Saccharomyces cerevisiae S288C: one gene and its partners. The gene in region 3 interacts genetically with the main gene of each other region. Each region holds a gene or a part of one and is shown on either strand. Other genes may lie near its edges.

Evidence for each region. A genetic interaction does not mean that the proteins touch.
Region 1: mutations in IRC7 (region 3) and ATH1 together harm fitness more than expected from each alone (negative genetic interaction), as found in Saccharomyces cerevisiae (one large-scale study listed by BioGRID).
Region 2: mutations in IRC7 (region 3) and ARA1 together harm fitness more than expected from each alone (negative genetic interaction), as found in Saccharomyces cerevisiae (one large-scale study listed by BioGRID).

Annotation. Positions count from the first base shown.
Region 1 is NC_001148.4:613,277-621,922, reverse strand, and holds ATH1 (alpha,alpha-trehalase ATH1), read right to left. Parts: upstream 6,545-8,646; coding exon 2,909-6,544; downstream 1-2,908. Other genes in the region: YPR027C (uncharacterized protein), read left to right, coding at 665-1,498; TFIIH complex kinase subunit CCL1, read left to right, coding at 7,365-8,546.
Region 2 is NC_001134.8:538,033-543,929, reverse strand, and holds ARA1 (D-arabinose 1-dehydrogenase (NAD(P)(+)) ARA1), read right to left. Parts: upstream 3,944-5,897; coding exon 2,909-3,943; downstream 1-2,908. Other genes in the region: TBS1 (Tbs1p), read left to right, coding at 1-2,721; YSW1 (Ysw1p), read right to left, coding at 4,225-5,897. UniProt on the Saccharomyces cerevisiae protein: Catalyzes the oxidation of D-arabinose, L-xylose, L-fucose and L-galactose in the presence of NADP(+).
Region 3 is NC_001138.5:259,967-268,001, forward strand, and holds IRC7 (cysteine-S-conjugate beta-lyase IRC7), read left to right. Parts: upstream 1-4,237; coding exon 4,238-5,260; downstream 5,261-8,035.

The DNA.
Region 1 (8,646 bases), on a different chromosome or scaffold from region 3:
AACGTCTTTTTTTTTTTTTGATTACTCCCAAATTCAGTTCCCCCGTTCTTGAATTGGACTACCGATGTTTATGAGCTGGGCATTTTCTCAGGAATTATATAGTATGTTAAGTGTGTAACAAATTGAGATGAATATATACGTGCTGGCTTACGCATTATGAAACACACTAGTAGAATAAGTGTTTCGGATGGGAAGTTTATTGATACTAAACCTAACGTGTCTTCCAAACGAACAAATAATAATGTAGGTTTCAAATTATATCAGCGACTAACTTCGGCGGCTATATGGACAGTCACTAAAGTGTTTTGAAGATGTTTTCTTTCTGTGGTCACGACGGTAGCCTCAACTGCCTAGAAATTTACAAAACAAAATAGTTTACAAAATTAAAGCACTTTTCAAGCGCCGTGCATATTAGTTTTTGTGGTACTGAAAGTTCGGTTACATGATGTGCGGCAAACAACTTTTTGATGTTGGCTAGCAGATCGAGATTCTGTTGATGATGGCAACGTTGAAAAAGCGTTGATCACAAGAATTAGAAAGTACTAATTTTCCATTACTTCTAACTAAAGAGGGAATTACCATTAGTGTAATTCACAAACATTTGTAAAAAAACAATCATCATAACGTACTATTCATAAACATATAAAGCGCCAGATAAAAAGAAATGGTTGGTATTTACAGAATACTTGCTTCGTTCGTCCCACTCCTGGGTCTTCTTTTTGCATTCCATGATGATGACATGATAGATACTGTTACAATCATCAAAACTGTATATGAAACGGTGACATCAACTTCTACTGCACCTGCACCTGCCGCTACAAAATCTGTTAGTGAAAAGAAACTGGATGACACTAAACTAACACTTCAAGTAATTCAAACTATGGTATCATGTTTTTCTGTAGGTGAAAATCCGGCCAATATGATATCCTGTGGGCTAGGAGTTGTAATCTTAATGTTTTCATTAATCATCGAGCTTATCAACAAGCTCGAAAATGATGGTATCAATGAACCGCAAAGGTTATATGACCTAATTAAACCAAAATACGTCGAGCTACCTTCAAATTATGTGAATGAAAAAATCAAAACAACATTTGAACCTCTCGACCTATACTTAGGAGTAAATATGAATACTTCAGGAAGTGAACTAAACCAAAACTGTTTGATTCTCAAACTTGGCGAGAAGACGGCTCTGCCTTTCCCAGGCTTGGCCCAGCAGATTTGTTATACAAAAGGCGCTTCAAATGAGTTCACAAATTATAAATTATCGGACATACAGGGCAATTTAAACGAAAACAGCCAAGGAATTGCTAATGGCGTTTTCCAGAAAATATCAAACATTAGAAAAATATCAGGTAATTTTAAGTCTCAGCTTTATCAAATTTCAGAAAAAATCACCGACGAAAATTGGGACGGTTCTGCTGTAGGCTTCACTGCTCATGGGAGAGAAAAAGGCCCAAACAAATCTCAAATATCGGTTTCATTTTATAGGGATAATTAAAATAATTCTCTAAACTTTGCTATACCTTATTCGTTGTTGATAAGTACACTTGTCCCATTTCCAGAAATTTAATTATTCAAGTCTTTAGCTTCGATAGACGATGTACTTGAAAAATTTATAATCGATATAATTTTCTCTTCTGATTTTTTCACTCTTTTTTTTTTTTTTTGTACTATAGTAGGATACTCAGGGAAAAAGAAACCACTGCCTTTGAACAATGTTGCGAAACCAATTGATTAGTGGGCTACAAGAGTGTAAATAATGAAGATCTTTCATTTTTTGTAGGAATGCGTTTACTCTGGCGTATCTTTTGTAAAGGTTTGTTTCACCGAGAAAGGAAAAAGCTCGGCAATTGGTTTAATCTTGGTTGGATTGTAAAAAAATACATTAAAATTTAGGTTCTACCCCGCAGTGTTTGCTTAATTTACATAGGACCCTTTTCCTGCCGTTTTTGTTTTGTAAGGGTGAGGAAAAACTGGGGACGATGAAGAGCAAAAAAGAAACGAACATATTTGTGAATACATTATACACCTGAAGTAATAAATTTGTGGGGGACGTCATTTAAAGCCAAAATACTTCTTAACACACAATTACTATAAACTATTCCTGTAGATTAGCCCACCCCACCTTGAGAAAACCTTCAGGATACCAAATGGCAGGACCCAACTAACACAAACTCATTTTCTTCAATTTATACAAAGTACGTTTTTCTTTCGTGAATAGTATATAGAGCTTTAAATATTTGCCTAGTAGGCTTCTGTATTTTCAGATTGGCGCTACATCAAGTTACCTCTAATGTATTGAATCTAGAATATAAAAATGTATGCAAACATTATCGTTGCAAATTTAATTTAAGTTGCGAGAAATTTAGGAATATTTCTGTTCAAACCCTACTGACGAGAGAAGAGCCAATATCAAATCTGGTGGTAATCCCGATGGAATCAGAATCGTCTAGTAGGAATTTGAAGTCTATTTTTTTAATATGGACTCATACAAAAAATTAGAAAAGGCGCCAATTAAAAATGTGCAATCAATGTAATGAAAGAACTGATCTCAATGGCAGGAAGATCAAATTGGTAGGTAGATCATGTCTATATAATGCATGTGAAAATTTTATAGAAAACTGTTGTGGGCTCTGGAAAACAGGCTGCTAAACAGTACTTAGTGGAATTAAAGTACGCTGGTGCAAAAGACCAATTTCAAGGTCACTACTATATAAGGTGCAAAAAAAGCTTGTAGTAAAAATTATTGCTCCTAAATGTCACCCTATAGAAAAAAAAAAGCTTTTATATAAGCATGCATGATATTTTCAATATAGTGCCTTTAAAATATATATCCTACGAAAAAATTGGTAACTTTTATCCAAACTTATAATATTAAAAAAAGCGCTACTTATATGCATCATTTCATTTAATCATTGAGAACAATTTCCTTGATTGTAGCTCCTTTGTTATCATCATCATAATCATCATACACTCCTTGTACTGCCACAACTATGTATCTTGTTTTCCTCCAATCTGTGTTCCCTTTATCACCCACCTGCAATTTATCATAATCAATAGTGAAAGTCGTTCTATTACTGGGTAATATCTCGATTAACGACTGGTTGCGACTTGCTTCGTAGTATGGCTCACTTGGGCTCACTGGCACGTTATCCAGAATTTTCACAAATTTTCTTTTTAGAAAGTTAAGTCTGGGTATTTGTTCAATTAGCTTGGCTAAGTCTTCCTTCTTCCAGTGCAATAAGGCTTGCACATCATCCAAAGATTCATCATCCTCTTGTTCTATGCCATCAAAATCAATAACGTTCTCGACAGGAATTCCGGCATTATCTAAAAGCTGACCAATGGTTTCATTAAGAAGTTGATCATTTCCCGAATTTTGCATAATTTCTGTCACGTTCGCAAATAAATTTTCGACTTTTTCAGAATGAGGCAAAATAGATATGGAAATGTTTTTTGCGGGCCTCTGCCCCCAAAGAATCATTCCCTTGGTAATCTCTTTCTCGTTGTATTCACCTAAATCAATCAATAGCTTCGCACGGTGAATTTTGTCTAAGGGTTGCCAATGCGTGTAATTATTCCCATCTAGAGCAGAGAATGCAACGTCACCAGGAACGCCGGCCGTCAAGTTTGTTATTTGCTTATTTTCCGCTATGTTGTTTCTTGCGTTTAAGCCAGGCTTGAACAGTTGGACTGTAAGCTCTTGTTTCGGTTTTAAAAGATAATAGGTACCATACCTATCCATCCTCATTGGATCACCAACACGGTCGACGTCTCTACGCTCTAGATTTGGTTTTCTTTCGTTTTCGGAACCATTATAGAAGTTGATATCCTGGTCATGTATTAGAGATCTGTTTGGTATCTTTATATGAATAGGAACATCTCCTGATTTATGAACAATCGTACCATTGTGGTCGTCAATTATTATATCTAAAACTTGGTTCATATATTTGAAGTTTCTAATAGCGATACCACCAGGGAGCAACGGTAGTTCTATTGGATTGAACCTTAACAAACGGTTAATTTTTTTAGTATCTGGATCAACCTCATAAGAATATCGGATTCCTGTTAACCCAAACAGAATGCTCTGTAGAAATCCACCGTTAGCTGTTAAAAAGGGGAATGCTGGCTGGGTTAATCCGTTTGTTAAAAAGTTGTCGTCTGATTGCTCACTAAATTGAGCGAAAGGAGCCCGTAAGTATGGAAGAACCGATTTATATAAGTAACTTTGAGAAGAAGAGCCGTGATTCAGCAGACCAGCAGCTGCGGCCACAAAAACCGGATATGTCATTGCAGGCCCAGACGCAGACTGTCTTTCTGAATAATAATAAAGATCTTTAATTGCATTGTTCAATATGGATTCATCATTGATATATCCAAGTGGGTAAACCATTAAAGTCACATCCGCCTGTTTAATCTCCACTGAGCTATTCATACCAGAATATTCCAAAGTGATGTTAGATGAGGATCTAGGGATATAAATATCTTTGGAAATTTCACTCCATTTGGGGTCAACGACCTCGCCGAGATGATTGCCAATGTCTGTTGCCCACTTTAGAAGTGTTTTAATGCCAGCATTCGTGAAAGCCCCGTTATTGATGTGATTAGCAAACTCGTCGGGATCTGTCAAATTATATGTTTCATACAATCCTAGGGAAGAATTGTACTTAACATAAGCAGTAAAAAATTGGGCTGCGTTTTTGATAATTGGCCATGTAGTATATCTCAGATACTCGTCATCAATCCCTTCGTGTCCATTCAAGTATATGGAAAAGGAGGCCATAGCGACATCAACGTTAATATGGTATTCGTAATCGACACAAGGTCCCGTAGAAGTACAATTAGCGTACTTACCAGATGTCCAGGGGTATATTGCTCCGGGGTATCCATATTTCTCTGCATTTAACTTTGCCTGCGAATGTGTAGCATTTCTGTAATTATTCATATTTTGAGCCACATTTGGGAAGAAAGGCAATAGGGCAGGTTCCATCCATATATCTGCGTCCCAGAACACCATACCACCATAGGAATCTGATGACAAACCAGAAACTCCCACGGGAAGACCCCTATCGCTCGAGACATTGTAATCTCTTGTATTTGCTAGTAAATGGAATAGGGACGATCTTGCTGTCATTTCTAAAAGACTGTCAGAAGGAATTTCAATGAAGGCGTCGTTGTAAAGGTCATACCACGCACGTTTGTGACTTGACAGAAGCTTCTCGTAATTGCCTTTACTGTTTAGAGCTATCATTTTGGCCAAACCAATATTAGTATTGTCTTGTTGTTCTTTGTTCTTATTGAACTCAGTAGACATAATACCAACATACTTATGAACGATTATCTTGGGTTGGTCCTCTGTCAAAATAACATTATAAATATTAGAAGAAACATCTTTTTCTTCAAAAGATTCACTAGAATTTATTGGATTGGTGGAATTTTCATACTTTACAGTACACGTTGAGTAAATAGCGCAATTAGAAGATGGAACGTTATCTGGCTGAACAATCATGAAAACCGCATTATTTTTTTCGTCTGTTCCCGTGCTATGTAGAACAGTCCTATGTGATGTGTTGAAATCAAGTATATCCCATATATTAACATCTAATGAATCAAAATCCGAAGGTAAATGGTCCGTATTCAGGGAAATTTCCAAAGAAACCACTCCCAGTGGATGAATGTGCCGATGTGCCCAGATTTCACTTTTAACATGTATTTGACTGTTTAGCCAATCTAACTCCGTAGTTACGATACCATCCTTCATTGATAAGTTTTGGCTATAATTAGTTACGTCATCCAACGTAACATTTTGTGGATTGAACCACTTAGAATCATTCACTAATGAGAACTGTAGATTGGTCCATTGTGGAATAGATGAAATGACAGTGGAATATCCTACATCATCCAATTCTGGGAAGTTTGTTGAATTTAGTTTTGGTTGTAGACAATAAAAGTCCGATACAAACGCACCGGCAAATCTATGATTTCTTAAGGGCCAACCGTTATTCAAAGCGCCTGGTGCGTCTGTGTAAAAATTCAGGGTGTCTAAGGCATAGCCGAACCCAATATTGGGAATACGACTACCTATATAACCGTTAGCAACATATGGTTGTCTCGAGTATGTATTCTTTGAGAACAAGTTACTTCCCAAAATCATGTTCTCATCATCATAATATGCCGTGTTGAAATCAGAAAGGAGTTCATAAAGTTTTTTAGAAGATTCCCTTGCTTCTGGATCGTAGTTCAACGTATGATTTCCCAATGACGGCGATATCACACCCAGAGGGTTAAATAGGGCAGCCCTCGAGGCATGTGAGTATGTAAGCCTGGAACTCTTTGTTAAATATAATGCAGTGACGAAGATAGCTAATAAAAATAGCATCATCAGTAAAAGTATAGAGTTGATCAAGTCAAACCTTGAGAAAGAACGATAATTTTTAGAGCGAGAGTTATTACCGGTACTATTTTTGTTCCTCAAACTAGGAGAATTGTTAAGGTTTGAATAAGAAGCCTCCGCATTGAACCAAAGCGATCTTATTCTTTTCATTATTGGAATGAGGAAATTTCGGTAAAAACAGATGCAATATTAGGTGATACTAGCAGGCTCTCATAAAGGACTGATGAATCCTTTTTTAAGGAGCAATAAGATTCTTTTTTTTTTTTTTTTTACTTGAAAAAAAGGGAGTGGTAATATGGTGAAAAGTGGAGAAATTTTGTTATTATTATTCAATAACGACAAGAATTCTCTTTCCGAATATAAAAACGGCGCGGCTGTTGGTTTGTCGTGATACGTAGTGCTTGCTTGGACTTGGAAGTAAGACTATACCAAAAAGGAAATAAATTTTGAGGGGCAAAGAAGAGATGCTTGTACTGCCTTGCTGACTCAGATTGTTCGTTGATTTTGCTCAACTTTCCGCTTGCTTAGAGTGAACGTGATAGCTTTACGGCTAGAATCAAGATGAATGTTCCTTTCTTTTTCCGAAGTATTTGCCCTTATTGAAAAAGAATGATAAGGGATATACGAATAGACTGGTAAATATTGTAGATACACTTGTTTTTAGTGAAGCGAGAATAACAAAGCTTCAGCTAGAGACGTGACGGCTGAGAGGTGACCTGAAAGAAAGTAGTTATTGCTGGCTTGAAGAGTGAAATAACCTTGGTACAGACTTTGATAGCACGAACTGTTTGCCATCCAGAGAAGAAAGGGCCTCTCATTTCCTGCGGTATCCCTTCGTTGTTTAAGCCGTTCACAATCCGGGTAATAAATTTGATCTTAACACAGTTTTTATATTAAGAAAGATCTCAAACAAATGAGTGAATATTAAGTTTAAGAGAGGAAAATACTGTGCTGCACAGATATTGATAGAATGACGGATATTCAACTAAATGGAAAGAGTACATTAGATACTCCTTCTGCTACCATGTCAGCAAAAGAAAAAGAGGCAAAATTAAAATCGGCTGATGAGAATAACAAGCCACCGAACTACAAAAGAATTTCTGACGATGATTTATATAGGCACTCTTCTCAGTATAGAATGTGGTCATACACTAAAGATCAACTTCAGGAGAAAAGGGTAGATACCAATGCCCGAGCGATTGCTTACATTGAGGAAAATTTATTAAAATTTAGAGAAGCACACAATTTAACAGAAGAAGAAATAAAAGTACTAGAAGCAAAGGCTATCCCTTTGACAATGGAAGAAGAACTCGATTTGGTGAATTTCTACGCAAAAAAAGTTCAGGTAATAGCACAGCATCTAAATTTGCCAACCGAAGTAGTGGCCACTGCGATATCCTTTTTTAGGCGTTTTTTCTTAGAAAATTCTGTTATGCAAATAGATCCTAAAAGTATTGTACATACTACTATCTTTCTAGCCTGCAAATCGGAGAACTATTTTATTAGCGTGGACTCGTTTGCTCAAAAGGCCAAATCTACTAGAGATAGTGTTCTCAAATTCGAGTTTAAGTTGTTAGAATCATTGAAATTTTCACTGTTGAACCATCATCCTTACAAACCGCTTCATGGGTTTTTCTTAGATATCCAGAACGTCCTTTATGGTAAGGTTGATTTAAATTACATGGGCCAAATATACGATAGGTGTAAGAAGAGAATAACTGCCGCATTATTAACCGATGTCGTATATTTCTACACTCCACCCCAAATAACACTAGCAACATTATTGATTGAGGATGAAGCCTTGGTCACAAGGTATTTAGAAACAAAATTTCCCAGCAGAGAAGGTAGCCAGGAATCAGTACCGGGAAACGAAAAAGAAGAACCACAAAATGATGCCAGTACAACTGAGAAAAACAAAGAGAAGTCCACAGAGAGCGAAGAATATTCGATAGACTCCGCGAAGTTACTAACCATAATACGCGAGTGTAAAAGTATTATTGAAGATTGTAAACCTCCGAGTACTGAAGAGGCCAAGAAAATTGCGGCAAAAAACTATTATTGTCAAAATCCATCAACACTGATTCAGAAATTAAAAAGGAAGTTGAATGGAGAAGATACTTCGTCCACCGTTGAGAAAAAGCAAAAAACATGAAACAGCTCTGTTACCGTAGGTTTCTGTTTTATATATATATATAGATTAAGATGCATAGGTATATAGACCGGCGCCATTTTATATTATTTCATGCCATGAA
Region 2 (5,897 bases), on a different chromosome or scaffold from region 3:
TCTACAGACAGCTCGCCGAAATTACACACCAACTTATCACAAGAATATATTGGAGTTTCTGCCGGCAAAAGTGCAAGCGATAAAGAAGATACTTGGCCTGACTTTGTTCCTATTGACAGGACAGTGCTTGAAAAAATTGAACTCAACCATACGAAGGTTGCTGGGAAAGTTTTTGTTTTGGAAGAGATTTGTAAAAACATGAAGGGAACAATAGAGAAGCTAGCTGAAAAAAGCAAAATTGACGTCATTGATAAAGAATACATGAAAAGGCCTAAAAGAAAGCAATATTCAAAGGCCTTGTTAACAAAACAAAAAATGTTTCATTTTCGACAAAATGTTTTATCACATTTAACTGACGAAGAATTTCTTTCGCCCATTAATGAAATGTTTACTACTACTTTCAAATATTCTATTTTACAGACCAAGCTGGTCCTGGACTTCTCTTTCCGATCCGCATCATCACCATCTAGTGATAATATTTTGTATCCTCTGCCCCGTTTAGCAATTGCAAAGCGTTTGCTCAAAAATATAAAATGTCCATCATTAGCCTCTCTTCTCCACATAGTGGATGTAGATCAATGTTTGCAATTTGCCGACGTGCACTTTGATCCTGCTAAAGGAAGATTGACATCATCACAGGCATTTTTGCTAAATATCTGCCTCTGCCTTGGGGCCACCGTTACAAATTTTGAGGAGAAGCAGGAGCTAGTTGATGAAGATAATCATGAAACCTATTATTTTGAGAAGTTCGAATTATGGAGACTCAGATCTTTCACTTTTCTCAATTCTGTCTATTACTACCATAAACTGTCTGTAGCACGCGCAGATATGACGGCATTAAAGGCATTACTGTTACTGGCAAAGTTTGCCCAACAAAAAATAAGTGCTTCATCAGCGGTCAAAGTACTATCCGTTGCTATCAAAGTGGCTTTGGATTTACGGCTCAATTTACATTCCACCTATGAGGATCTAGAACTTGATGAAATCATTAAAAGAAGACGCTTGTGGTGTTATTGTTTTTCAACAGACAAATTCTTTTCTGTGGTGTTGTCAAGACCGCCCTTTCTCAAGGAGGAAAACACTGATGTATTAACAGATGAAAGCTATGTTGAACTATTCAGAGATAAAATTCTGCCCAATCTTTCTATAAAATACGATGATTCAAAACTAGAAGGGGTGAAAGATATTGTATCCGTTGTAAACTTACTCGCGAATCACCTTGAATATGTACCATACATTCAATCATATTTTTTGTCGAGATTATCCCTCATAGAGTCTCAAATATATTACTCATGTTTTTCCATCAGAACAACTTTAGACGATACACTAGATGAAATCATTGAAAATGTACTGGAAAATCAAAAGGCGTTAGATAGAATGCGAGACGATTTGCCCACCATATTATCATTAGAAAATTACAAGGAAAACATGAGGATTTTATCTTTGGATTCTTCGAAGTTAGATTTTGAAGTGAGTTGTTGTACTACTATTCTATTACACCTCAGATGGTACCATCAAAAGATAACCCTGAGTTTATTTGTCATATCCATCATTGGAGATAACTTAGATCAACGGGAAAGTTCCCGGCATGATATAGCTGAAATTATTAGAAGGTCAAGATTGGATTTCAAGCGAAATTGCATCGAAGTACTTAATATTTTGAAAGATTTTGAATACTACCCTACTGTTCAGAATGAGTTTCTGTATTTTTCTCTCACAACGGTTTTTTCCATGTTTCTGTATTTGTCAGAGATTATGGTTAATGACGAACATGCCATGGAGACTGGTTATATAATTGGATTATTGAGGGATACACATACCCGTATGCTTGGATCTGAAGAACGCTGTCTTTCAGTACACAATCTGAAGTGGCAAACATCTCTTTTTTTTTACACTTTTTTTCTACGGAGTACGATGGAAAAGTTCAATCTGACAAGTAAATACGCAAAATTCTATGCCTTTGATTCAAATTATTATGAGGGTGTTCTCAATAGGTTAGTTAAGCATACGAGAGAATCAAAAGATGATATGGTCGAGCTCTTGAAAACTTCGTTCATAAATAAAGAGAAGATGGCTGCATTTGGTAGTTTCGTTACAGAGGACCAAGAAAAAATGGAAGTGTCCTTCAATATTTTCAATGAAATAACAATCCAGGATTTGAACTTCTTGCAATTTTCAAGCATTCCGAAATTGTGGGAAAATAAAACTCTTGAGCCAGGCGAGGAATATCATCATAGTAATGGTACCAATACTGATAATAACGAGACTACTGGCGCTGATGATACTGACGATAATAATAATAATAATAATAATAATAATAAAAATGGCAATAATAGTAGTAGTACTATTAATAATAATAACAATAACTACAGTAACAGTAACAATAATGACAATGACAACAATATTAATGATGATGATGATGATGATGATGATGATGATGATGATGATGATGATGATGATGATGATGATGACAATGATGATGATTATAGTAATAATGGTGCTGATGATGATGAAGAAGACGATGACTATGACAGATCTTTATTTCCAACAGGTTTAGCTTCGCTGCTTGATGCGTCATATCCTGAACGTACGGCGAATGATTATAGAGATGAGAATGAACAATCGAATAAATTATTCGAAAAGATTGAAGGCCATTTGGAGCACGGTGTTTTTTTTTACGATCGGGATTTCTTCTTCAAGAATGTGTGTGTAAAAATGTAATATTATATAAAGGACATTCGAGTAATTTAACTAATACATATGCATACGCGCGCGTATGTATTTCAGATACTTAAAAACTTCAAATCACGTATGAAAAACATATTGTTTACTTGAGGCGATTACACAATATCTTGTTTTTGACAAGATTAAGAAGCGAACTAAATAAAGTGAAAATAAAGTCGTTGTCTTAATACTTTAAATTGTCCAAGTTTGGTCCGTTACCAGTAAACTCTGGAAGGATGGCTGCAAATGGCTCATCGATGAATCTCACTGGGTATTTTTCACCGAAGTCGTTCAACTCTTGTAATTCATCCTTTGTCAAAGATGCGAATTCAATACTCGAGGAAATCCTAACTGGATTCAAGGATCTCGGAATTACGATAGTGCCTTGTCTAATATGGTAAGAAATTAGCAAGTCATTTCCTGTGACATTGTACTTTTCGGCAAGCTTTTTCACTAGTGGGATTTTCAAGTTTGGTGCGCCATGGGAACCTAATGGTGAGTATGCTGTTAACAGAATGTCGTGCATAAAGCAGAACTTTCTTAGTTCCATTTGTGGTAAGTGAGGGTGAGTTTCCACTTGGTTCACCGTTGGCTTAACTCTGCATTCCTTAATGAGACGTTCCAAATACTCAATGGAAAAATTTGAGACACCAATGGCTCTCACACGATGATCGTTAGGATCAAGGTAAATTTTTTCCAATTGCTTGTAAGTTTCTAAATAGTCACCGTCGGCAGCATACATTGTTTTTCCAGAATCATCAACCGGAGTCTTCACCAGTCCGCTGATCCCCTTAGGGTCCTTAATCTTTTCAAAACATAGCGGCCAATGTTGCAAGAGCAAGTCGACGTATTCCAAGCCTAAAGCTTTCAAAGATTCATTCAATGATCTGTCCACTTCGTCCCATAGAACCGGCCACACTTTTGTGGTTATGAAAAGATCCTCCCTTTTGATAGATCCATCTTCTAATAACTCCTTGATGGCTTCACCTACGAATGGCTCTGTCTCGTAGGCCCAAGCAGTATCAATGTGCCTGTATCCAGCTTTGATTGCAGCTTTTACGGCTTGTTTTGTTTCAGCTAACTTTTCGTGAGGATTTGCTGTCCCCAAACCCAGTGCTGGGATACGAACACCATTGTTGAGTGAAAAGTATATTTCTGTAGTCTTTGGATGCAACATATTTTCGACTATGTTTTCGGTTGAGGCTACTGAAGAAGACATGATAGCAGTTGATTAAAATCAAGACGCTTTTATCAATTGAAGGCGGAGATAGTGCAAATAAGTCCAGATGCTTGATATCCCCCTCTTTCCTTTTTACCCCTGTATTACGAGGCTCACTTTATATATTATAATTTTTCCAGGCGGAGGTAAGGGTAGAGCGGCTTTTGGTGGATTTATAATCGGCAATAAACGAGTTTTTAAGCGATCTATAATATTTTTATTGAGTGATAGTTAGATACTTAATGATTATATACTAGTAGCATTTTCAGTAAACGAAATTGTTAAGATGTTAAGGTGGAGGCGCCATTCTTGCTGTCTTTTATCAACTTTGTACTCTCTTTTTTCTTCAAATGTTGCATCAGTGTTTTGATATAGTTATCCTTATCTTGTAGCATCATTCTTAACCCACCTATTGTTTCCTTCTGGAAATTGGCAGATCTCTCGTAGAACCTGAAGTTCATTGTCAGTTGGTCGATTAAGGAGAAGTTGATGTTTGCGAACAGAGGGCCCAATTGCCTCTTGAAGCTGTTTTCTTGTAAACGAAATGAGGAGTCTTCGAAACAATTTTTCATGTTTAGCGCACTACAGCAGGTTTCAATCTTTATAATATTATCGTCGTTTTCCTTCAAATCATTGCCATAAACATTGTGGAATTGCAAAACCTCGCTGAGGCTTTTCAGTAATGTCAAAAACTGGTCGATAGTATATCTATTCAAGTCTAATCTAACGCTGTCAGCCCTTACCTGTTTTTTTTTTTTTTCAAGAGATTTTTCTAAGCCAAATATTCTCTTTTCCAAGTGTTTTAATCTATTTTCATTGTTTCTCGTTTCTCTTGGAAGATATTTCGAGGGTTTGAATGTGGATTGCTGTAATTTTTTTGAAGTTTCGTTGACGTTCAGTTCTAAAATGCCAGGACCCATATTGGATTTGGTAATCTCCTCATTTTCGTTTTCATCCGTAGATATGTACTCATTTGTTTTATTATTCGTACTTTTTTTTTTCAATTTGTTCATTTCCAATATAAGATCATTGTTTTTTTTACTAATGGATTCAAGGTTGTCTTTCAATGAGTTAATTTCCTGCTTATGTTGGAGATTTTCTTGCTTTAATGTTGACAAGTTCAAATTCTCCAATTTTAACTTTTCCAACTCATCTTGCTTCTCTTGTGCGTGCATTCTACCCTTTGAAATGTGGTTAGTAATACTTTCTATAACGTGGTCGCTCAATTGGTCGAGCTCTTCCTCCCAAGATACGTTTTGTTTCCCCCCTGAAGTCAAATCAATATCAATGTTCATAGTAGCCAATTTTTTGTTCAGATAGTCAATCACATGTCTCCCACCTTTGTGAAAATCATTTTCTACTGTTATATTAGGCTGAGATGTAAATGTGTTTGGTGTCTGAAACACAAATTTGTAAGGACCTTCAAGAACATTCTCCGGTGGAGTAGCAGGAGAAAATTCATCGTCACTGTCGTCGCTATACTCTTCAAAACTTTTTTCATATTCCTTTTTCAGACCTTTATTCTTAGCGCCTTTAGTCAAGCATTGATCCTTGGAAGGTATTTTCTCGGGACTTTTTGATTGCATAACATGTGAGTTAGCATCAGTGAAATGAGACTCATTCTCATCATCAGAAGAAAGTTCAACGGGCAATAGTAAGTTATTTTCATTCCTGAATTCTTTCACGTCATTTGCACTCTTGAAAATACTGTTTCTGATTTTTTTTGTGAAACTTCCTTTTTGGATGTCATGGGAATTTTCCTTTTTTGCACACTTATTGCTAGTTTTCTTCCAAACTAACGCATCATCTTCATCTTCCAACACAGACTCGTCCTTATTTGAGTTTGTTTGTTTGAAAAAAGATCTAACTTTTCTTCCTAGTTTTCTTTCTTCAACAGATTTTTGTGAGTTTTTGTCATTTAAGTAGACATCATTGACGTCATCTTCAACTCTAT
Region 3 (8,035 bases):
ATTACTGAAAATGAAATTGCTAAACTTTGGGAGCTACTAGAAGAAAAATGAGTACCTCTCCTACTTATATTTCCCATTTTCTTGAAGGTTTCTCCTTCCCATATAAGAATTCCAAACGGTGTTCCTTTACAAACCCATAAGGGTATTAAAATGATTCTCAAAATTTCCTACTGCACTATTGTTTTTTCTTTCTAATAGATGAATCATCCGTACACACACAGAGACCACCGTTTACTTTCATATCAGAATAGAAGTTGTGAAAGCTACCTACGAGACTTAAATAAACATCTTTTTCGATGGTGAGCTTTTCATGGTAATTCGTCGAGACAGTAACTGTTTTGCTCTTTTCTATGATGTCTAAAGCCAAAACAATGTCCATCAAGACTAGCGTAATAAAAATCAACCTGCTCATTGACAATTGGATTATTTTTGGCTGTTCAAGATTAAAACAGACTCAGTAGGCAAAAACTTCAATCAATAGTACCGGGAAGATGACATTCCGGTCTAAGTGGTATTATACACTTATAGTAAAGTCACGTCAACCTTTGTTACTTTTCTTAATTGATTATATACGCACTCTTCTCAATATTTGATTTCTTCATCGAAAAGATCTACACGAAGTTTTTATCATGTGTTAGCGTGATGGAAAAGATCTGTGCACGTTTAATTAGAATTGCAAAAGCTTCAATGGGTTTGATTGAGATTTTTATTTTCAATTCACTCATCTTGATGTTCACCACCAAGCCTACATCGAAACTTTGAAATACAGGAAAGTTGCAGGAGGCTTTATTGGTTGAATTGAAAAAGAAAGGAAGAAAAACGTAATGGTAAAATAAAACTCGACTATGGCGCAACCGATAGAGAGTTTAGTGGCATTAGAAATTTTAAAAGAAGCTTTAAACTACAAAGTGTTCTTCTGAATCTGAATAAGGTCACTTACATAGAAACCTACTTACCTCAAAAGCGTAATTCCGAAAGGCAAAAGAAAAACTTTTGTAGAATCTTCAGCTGCTAGAAGTTCAAATAGAAGACAAATTACGGACTTGTTGCAGTATATGCCAAGCTACAGAAGAAATTATATTTCTTAATACGTACAGAAGGTATGAAACGTTAGTTTACTCACAGAAGATACCCTGGCTTTTCTTTTATTAATACATGGAGTTGCAAAAAACAAGGGAAAGGAAAATCAATCAAATTAGAATTAAGGTTTTTTTTGGACAGTGCAGCGTCAATGCGCACGTAATGGCTTCGAAGAAAAAAAGAAGGCAAATACAATGAAGCTGAGATCTTGTTTTATCATGAGGGGAAATAAATTGGAAGCATTGAAGTTGTTGGAATGAAACTCTAAAATATCATCTGTTTAGTAGTATCGTGTTACTAGTACATTATCACATACAGTGTAAGAAAATGACATTAGGTATGAGAAACAGTCATCAAATCTAATGGAAGCGAAATTCAAGGGTTGGTGATGTAATAGGATAATGAAACATATAAAACGGAAGTAAAAATAATCGTAATATTACAAGGAGACCAAACAAACAGTCGAGAGAAGCGTATGCACAATCATGCAAGAAAAATTTTCTGGAAGAATTTATTTAATCTTAAATTACAAATCTTAGTAGTAATGGTCACTTCTGATAGTTTCGAAAAAGGAAAGAGGAGATGACTATTGAGTCAAATTTTTTTGACGGAAACTTAGCGACCGAAAAATATATATGATAATAAGAAAACGAATGGCATACAATGATTAGTTTCAAATATTTCACGCGCAAAGAAAGAATTCTACTACCGGAGTGTGCCCTTCTTGTACTTTATTATCAGACTGTGTCTCTCTAATTGCGTGTTGTCCGCGGAATAATGCTCTAATTTAAAAAATCGACATATTCTGACTTGTATGGCGCTTTGCATTGGTGTTTATATGTTAATAACCCCTAATCATACTCTATATGAATACTTTCAAATTTACCAACACAATAAAATCTTCATATTCTCATGCATGTTTTGCCCTGTATCACTAAATAATACATACTTTACCGAAGCTGGTTGTATTTCGTGTATATCATAGCCAATGATGCCGTTATAATGTCCGAAATATTATCGCTTAATGAAGGGAAGCAGCTAACAAATATGACAAATACAGCAATTTCTTACACCGGTAACTAATGATTATACAAACAAGACTTGATTTTTTTTATGGCCTGTAAGAATATATCATAACGTGAGTTCTAGATATTTAAAGTTCTTTATGCATATTCTAGTCTACGTATATAGGAGTTCCAAAAAAAAAAAAAATTAAATGCACGTTATTCTTGACGCTAGTGTAAGTTTTTATGTACTTTACCTGCTAGCTTCGTATTTCTGTCTTGGGATATTCTTGTCCCTATTATGAGAATGTACAATATGCAAAATAAAGGTAAAAGATTTGAAAAAGAGAAAATACCCAAATATCAACAAAACTACCTCTATAGGACCTGTCTCATGGTCTTGACAACTTTATGCGAAATAAGAACACGATCGTTATATCACTTAACGCTTGAGATATATACAGAATGTAGTACATGTCGGCCCTTCTACGGATTTATTACCATGTGTATACTAGAATTGATACCGGCAACCCATAGTGACTTTTAACAGGGCAATTGGATTTGCATAAAAGTATATACAGTAATAATAATATTTCCTGATGAGAAAGGTGGAAAGTATCGAGTTATGTGTACCTTCAATACCAATCTCTACCTCTCGTTAATAGTGCCACAATGCTATGGATTCTAAGCAATTTAAACCGCATAGCTATTAGTGTAGACTTCCCACTGTATTTGAATGACACGTTGCCTTCATTCCTTGTTGCGCTGAACTTTCACGTCAGATATATATACATAAGTGCAATAGAGGCCTAGGCTAATCTGCAAATTTCTCATAGATGTACACCGCCTGTGCCGTACGGCATCGCTATCTTCTGAAAGGAAACTGTAGTAAATTTACCAAAATATCTCCGAATAAAAAGAAGAGGAACATCTTTTAATGAATTATAGAGTACAAAAGAATCATTTAAAAGAGAGGGCGAGTGAAAACATGAAAAGAAACGTTACTAACTTAATTGACCTTAAAGTAGCCTCACCAGTTAAGTGCATTATTGATCATTCCATGAATAACCATTTTTAAAGACTAAGATGCTGAGTTGTGTTATATAGAGAGAAAAAAACGTACTTTCAGTTTCCATATGAGGTGGAGCGCAGGTCATAGGTATGCCGGCTCATTGTTTTCTATTTTAAAAAGTAAAAAATATGCTGCTAAAGGAACACGTGAGAAATTACATTCTCCCTAGGTCTGCGATAACGCGGTAATATTACACTGCCGCCGCCTTCCATGCCTTTGGAAAGCAGACAATGATGCTAGGCGGCGCCCAGCAGTATAAACTTTTCTTGCTTATAACCAGAACCTCTATCACAAAATTAGAAACTGCGATACTATGGGTCAGATCGACACATAGGGAGCACTATTAGGCGCAAGGCGTATACATAGGCATTGCGTGTTCAAAAATTGTCGTATGAGAAAAGTTCCAAACTTTCCACCATTACTCACCAACAACTTACACCAGCCCGGATTTAAGATTTAGCTTCCGAGAATATTGTGACTCAGCCACTGGTCTCTTGAATGTTGCGTGTAGCTTGATTAAGATTATGGCATAACCGTTTTTTTTACTTGGCAAGAGTGAACGTCCTTTTACTCCAAAAGGCTCCTGATGAAACTGGAGAGTCTCTTTGTTCTGAAATTTTTAAAGTTTAGCACACCATATTCACGCTCGAGGTGAACCCAAGTTTTCCTGAAAAATGTGCCATGAACCTGAAAAAAAGAATTATTCTCGAAAATAAAAAAGGCAATCAAGATCGGAAAGATAAGCATTTTTTTTCAATCCGTATCTAACATTCATAAAGTGATAAAAAAATTGATAACGATTTTATTGTCGCCTCTTGTTTTGAGTATATTTTTTTAACGTTCTTTTTCGGCATTCAAATTCCGTATAATCAACTCAATTGTAAGGCGCCGTAGCATCCAAATAATGTTGAAAGTGCCAATTTGCTCATCAGTGCTAAATATTCCTTGATAAAAATATAGAAGACAAGGACATATAAAAAGAAAGACTGCTCTAGTGTTGGGACACCACAATGAAAAAATACTTAACGTGTTTCGAAACTGTGAATATAAAATTCCAGCAAAAACCAAAATATTCACTACAATGATTGATCGTACCGAGTTATCGAAGTTTGGTATTACTACGCAACTGTCTGTTATTGGACGTAATCCAGATGAACAAAGTGGCTTTGTTAATCCACCTTTGTATAAGGGGTCAACCATCATTCTTAAAAAACTTAGTGATTTAGAACAAAGGAAAGGAAGATTTTACGGGACAGCAGGTTCTCCAACTATTGACAATTTAGAAAATGCCTGGACGCATTTAACCGGCGGTGCTGGGACAGTGCTATCAGCTTCTGGGCTTGGTTCTATCTCTTTGGCGCTATTGGCCCTTTCGAAAGCTGGTGATCATATCTTGATGACTGATAGTGTCTACGTGCCAACACGTATGCTATGTGATGGTTTATTGGCCAAGTTCGGTGTTGAAACGGATTATTATGACCCATCAATAGGGAAGGATATAGAAAAACTAGTTAAGCCAAATACAACCGTCATTTTCCTCGAAAGCCCGGGTTCTGGGACCATGGAAGTACAGGATATTCCAGCTTTGGTCTCTGTTGCCAAAAAGCATGGGATAAAGACAATTCTAGACAACACATGGGCAACGCCACTCTTTTTTGATGCTCATGCGCATGGTATCGATATTTCGGTAGAAGCTGGGACAAAATATTTGGGTGGTCATTCAGATCTTCTTATTGGTCTGGCCTCCGCAAATGAAGAATGTTGGCCGCTATTACGGTCAACTTATGATGCAATGGCAATGTTACCAGGTGCCGAGGACTGTCAATTAGCATTGCGAGGAATGCGTACATTGCACTTAAGATTGAAAGAGGTAGAAAGAAAAGCCCTGGATTTGGCTGCTTGGCTCGGAAATCGAGATGAGGTTGAAAAAGTGCTTCACCCCGCCTTTGAAGATTGTCCCGGACATGAATACTGGGTTCGTGACTACAAAGGTTCTTCAGGCTTATTTTCCATTGTCCTTAAAAATGGGTTCACAAGAGCTGGTCTGGAGAAAATGGTAGAAGGGATGAAAGTTTTGCAATTGGGATTTTCATGGGGTGGCTAGAAAAGCTTCAACATGGCCTTACAAAGGTTTTGCACTAAGAATACAAGTGGGTCTCGAAGAATTTGAAGATTTAAAAAGGGATTTTGAGTTAGGCTTTGAACGTCTCGCAGAAGAAATTTCTTTGAATCCTTTACAAATCTGATTTTTTTTCCTTTTTTTTTTGGATTTCCAAGCAATGTTGTTTGAGAAATGAATGAAATTTTTGACTATAGCTTGTCTTAGGCAGGCTGGAGTAGACAACCATCTAGTAGCCAATGTTTGCCCAGTTAATATATGGTTCAATTTTCTAGCTGTATCATATTATGGATGATGAAGCAGATAATCTTTCTTTTTTCTGTATGTCTGATTGTAATAAAGAGGCTTACCATATTGTGAATGCATTTCAATGACACTGCATAATGAAGTCATTGTATTTAGAAAAGTAATAATTTTGTATTGTATAAAGATAGAAAAAACGTATATCGTACTTATTCAGCGGAAATGATTCTGCTTTATCTACTTGCGTTCCTGAATATAATATTTGTGAACCAGGCTTGAGCTTGACACTACAGATTTTTTAGTTCGATTTCATTCAGTAGAGAAAGGCATATCAATATGACATGTGATCTCACTCCGCGGCTAAATGCTAGCAATAAAAAGAATACCGTAATAGAGATGCAGCAAAATAACCACTGGTGTTTAAGAAATAATATGATTACGTCAGTAACCGAAGAGCCCGTACGCACTCTGCTACCATAGACTATGTATATTGTTACCTATTGTAAATAGCTATGGTTACTCTAAGTACGTATGGTGCTATGCATCTCGGTGAACGGATGCAATTATGAAAGTGTAGGTCAGAACATCATCGGTGGTTTTGTCGTGTAAAAAAGGTTATAAGGAAAATTATACTCACATGATTTTATTCATCATCGTCTGTGTATCGCTTCAATTAACATTTTGAAAAAGAGATTACTTTATATGACGTTATGTATATCTTTCAACTTAAATAACCTTAGCTGGCAAAATAAAGAATAAGATAAGGGCCAAGAAGAACGCTAATACTCGTTTTTTTTCAACTACAAAACAACTAGTTGGATAATTTTGAAACAACAAAGTAGAAGTTGTACATATATTTTTGCGCATATGGCTCTGAAATATCGTATTTTTCAAAAGCCCGATACAAAGCCGTCAGCAATACCCATAGTTAAAGATTCCTTGATAACCTATAGCTTCCGTAGACAACAACACAAATTTACCACCTACTTTTAACTCACCCATGTTTTTCAGTTTATCAATGAATCTAATAAACGTGGCTTACGTAACAGCTCCGCATGGACTTGAATTTACTCCTAGCGAGCCTAGTGTTTTAATTGCTTGCATACAATCTTCATCGGAAACTAAACAGGAAATAGATGGCCCCTTTCTGTAGTAGAAGAAATGCTGTTGCTGAAATCCTCGGACAGTTCAACTCATCCATGATTGTTCTAGAGGTTCCTAGATCAGATGAAGCCTTTTGTAACACCAATGACTTATTGACAGTGTAAGCGGTATCTGGTTCAACCGAGAAGACTTTCGTATTCGATTTATGCGACCTGTAATATGTTATCACTCCTTGAGCAAAAGAATCAGCCCCACAAGGGACAAATATTACCGCAGGATCGAATGGTATTTCGCTACACAAGGTAGTGTAACCATAAGAAATCCAGTTAGGAATTTCATCATAACCTATGAATGAAAAATCTTGAATAAGTTGATTTTTTTGTCGGATCGCTACTACAAAACTCTAAAGAACTTTTTATTGCATAATCATAGTTACCTTTAATTTTGATAACTTCTGCTCCCTTTTCTGATCTGATGTTCTCACGCTCTGTTCTAGAACATTCCATGGAGTAAATATTGTAGACTTTAAGCCTAGGATTTTTGCCATGTATGCAACTGCTCTACCATCATTACCATCTGTAACAGCCGCTAGCATCAAAGACGGGTGTTGGAATTTGACAATTTGCTTCAATGTATCCAAGGAAGTTTTAGGTAATGGCAGGCTAAATCTTCCAATCAAACAGCAAAATACACCTCAAGACGCCCCAAGAATTTTGAATGAAGGCGAGCTGAATCCCGAACTTTGTTCTTTAATGTACAATTTAATACCAAAATGATTATCCAACTTGATTAGCTTCGATGACTCATACAGATCCATACCAATATCAACTTCACGGATAACTTTTTCAACTCTTTTAAATTCTTCAACATCATTTTTCGATCAAACTGCGTCAGGTTTTACATATAGATCAAGCGTTGTCGGTTTATACTACGATGTCATTTACGATCTGCTGCCAACAGAAGAAACATTACGCAGTACCTTGGAAAAATCTAGGCAATTTATAGACATGAATCTCCTATCGTTCTTAAAACAATGTATTTCCTGTCGTTGTCTCGATTCTCTTTTTTGCTATTCTGAAGGACAGGTCCATTTATCATCCAGAATTCTAATCCCGAATTTAAGATATCGTAACAGTAACAACATCATATCCAAGCACCGAAGATTCATTGCTCTATATTCCTTGTCTTCGAATAAGGAAGATACCGCGAAGAGACTCTTTAGGAGTCGGGCTTGACTCCCTGCCAAAGCAGCTATTCCTGTATAACACGCGATATTTTATCTCCTTGTCGTCATGTGAAAGTCAAACAGCGCACGTTTGTTTGATGAAGCAGCAACTCTCCTCTTACTGCTTTTGCAGAATTTTGTGAGAAGCTCTCTTCTCTTGGAACTAACCTAGCCATATGGCTTTCTGC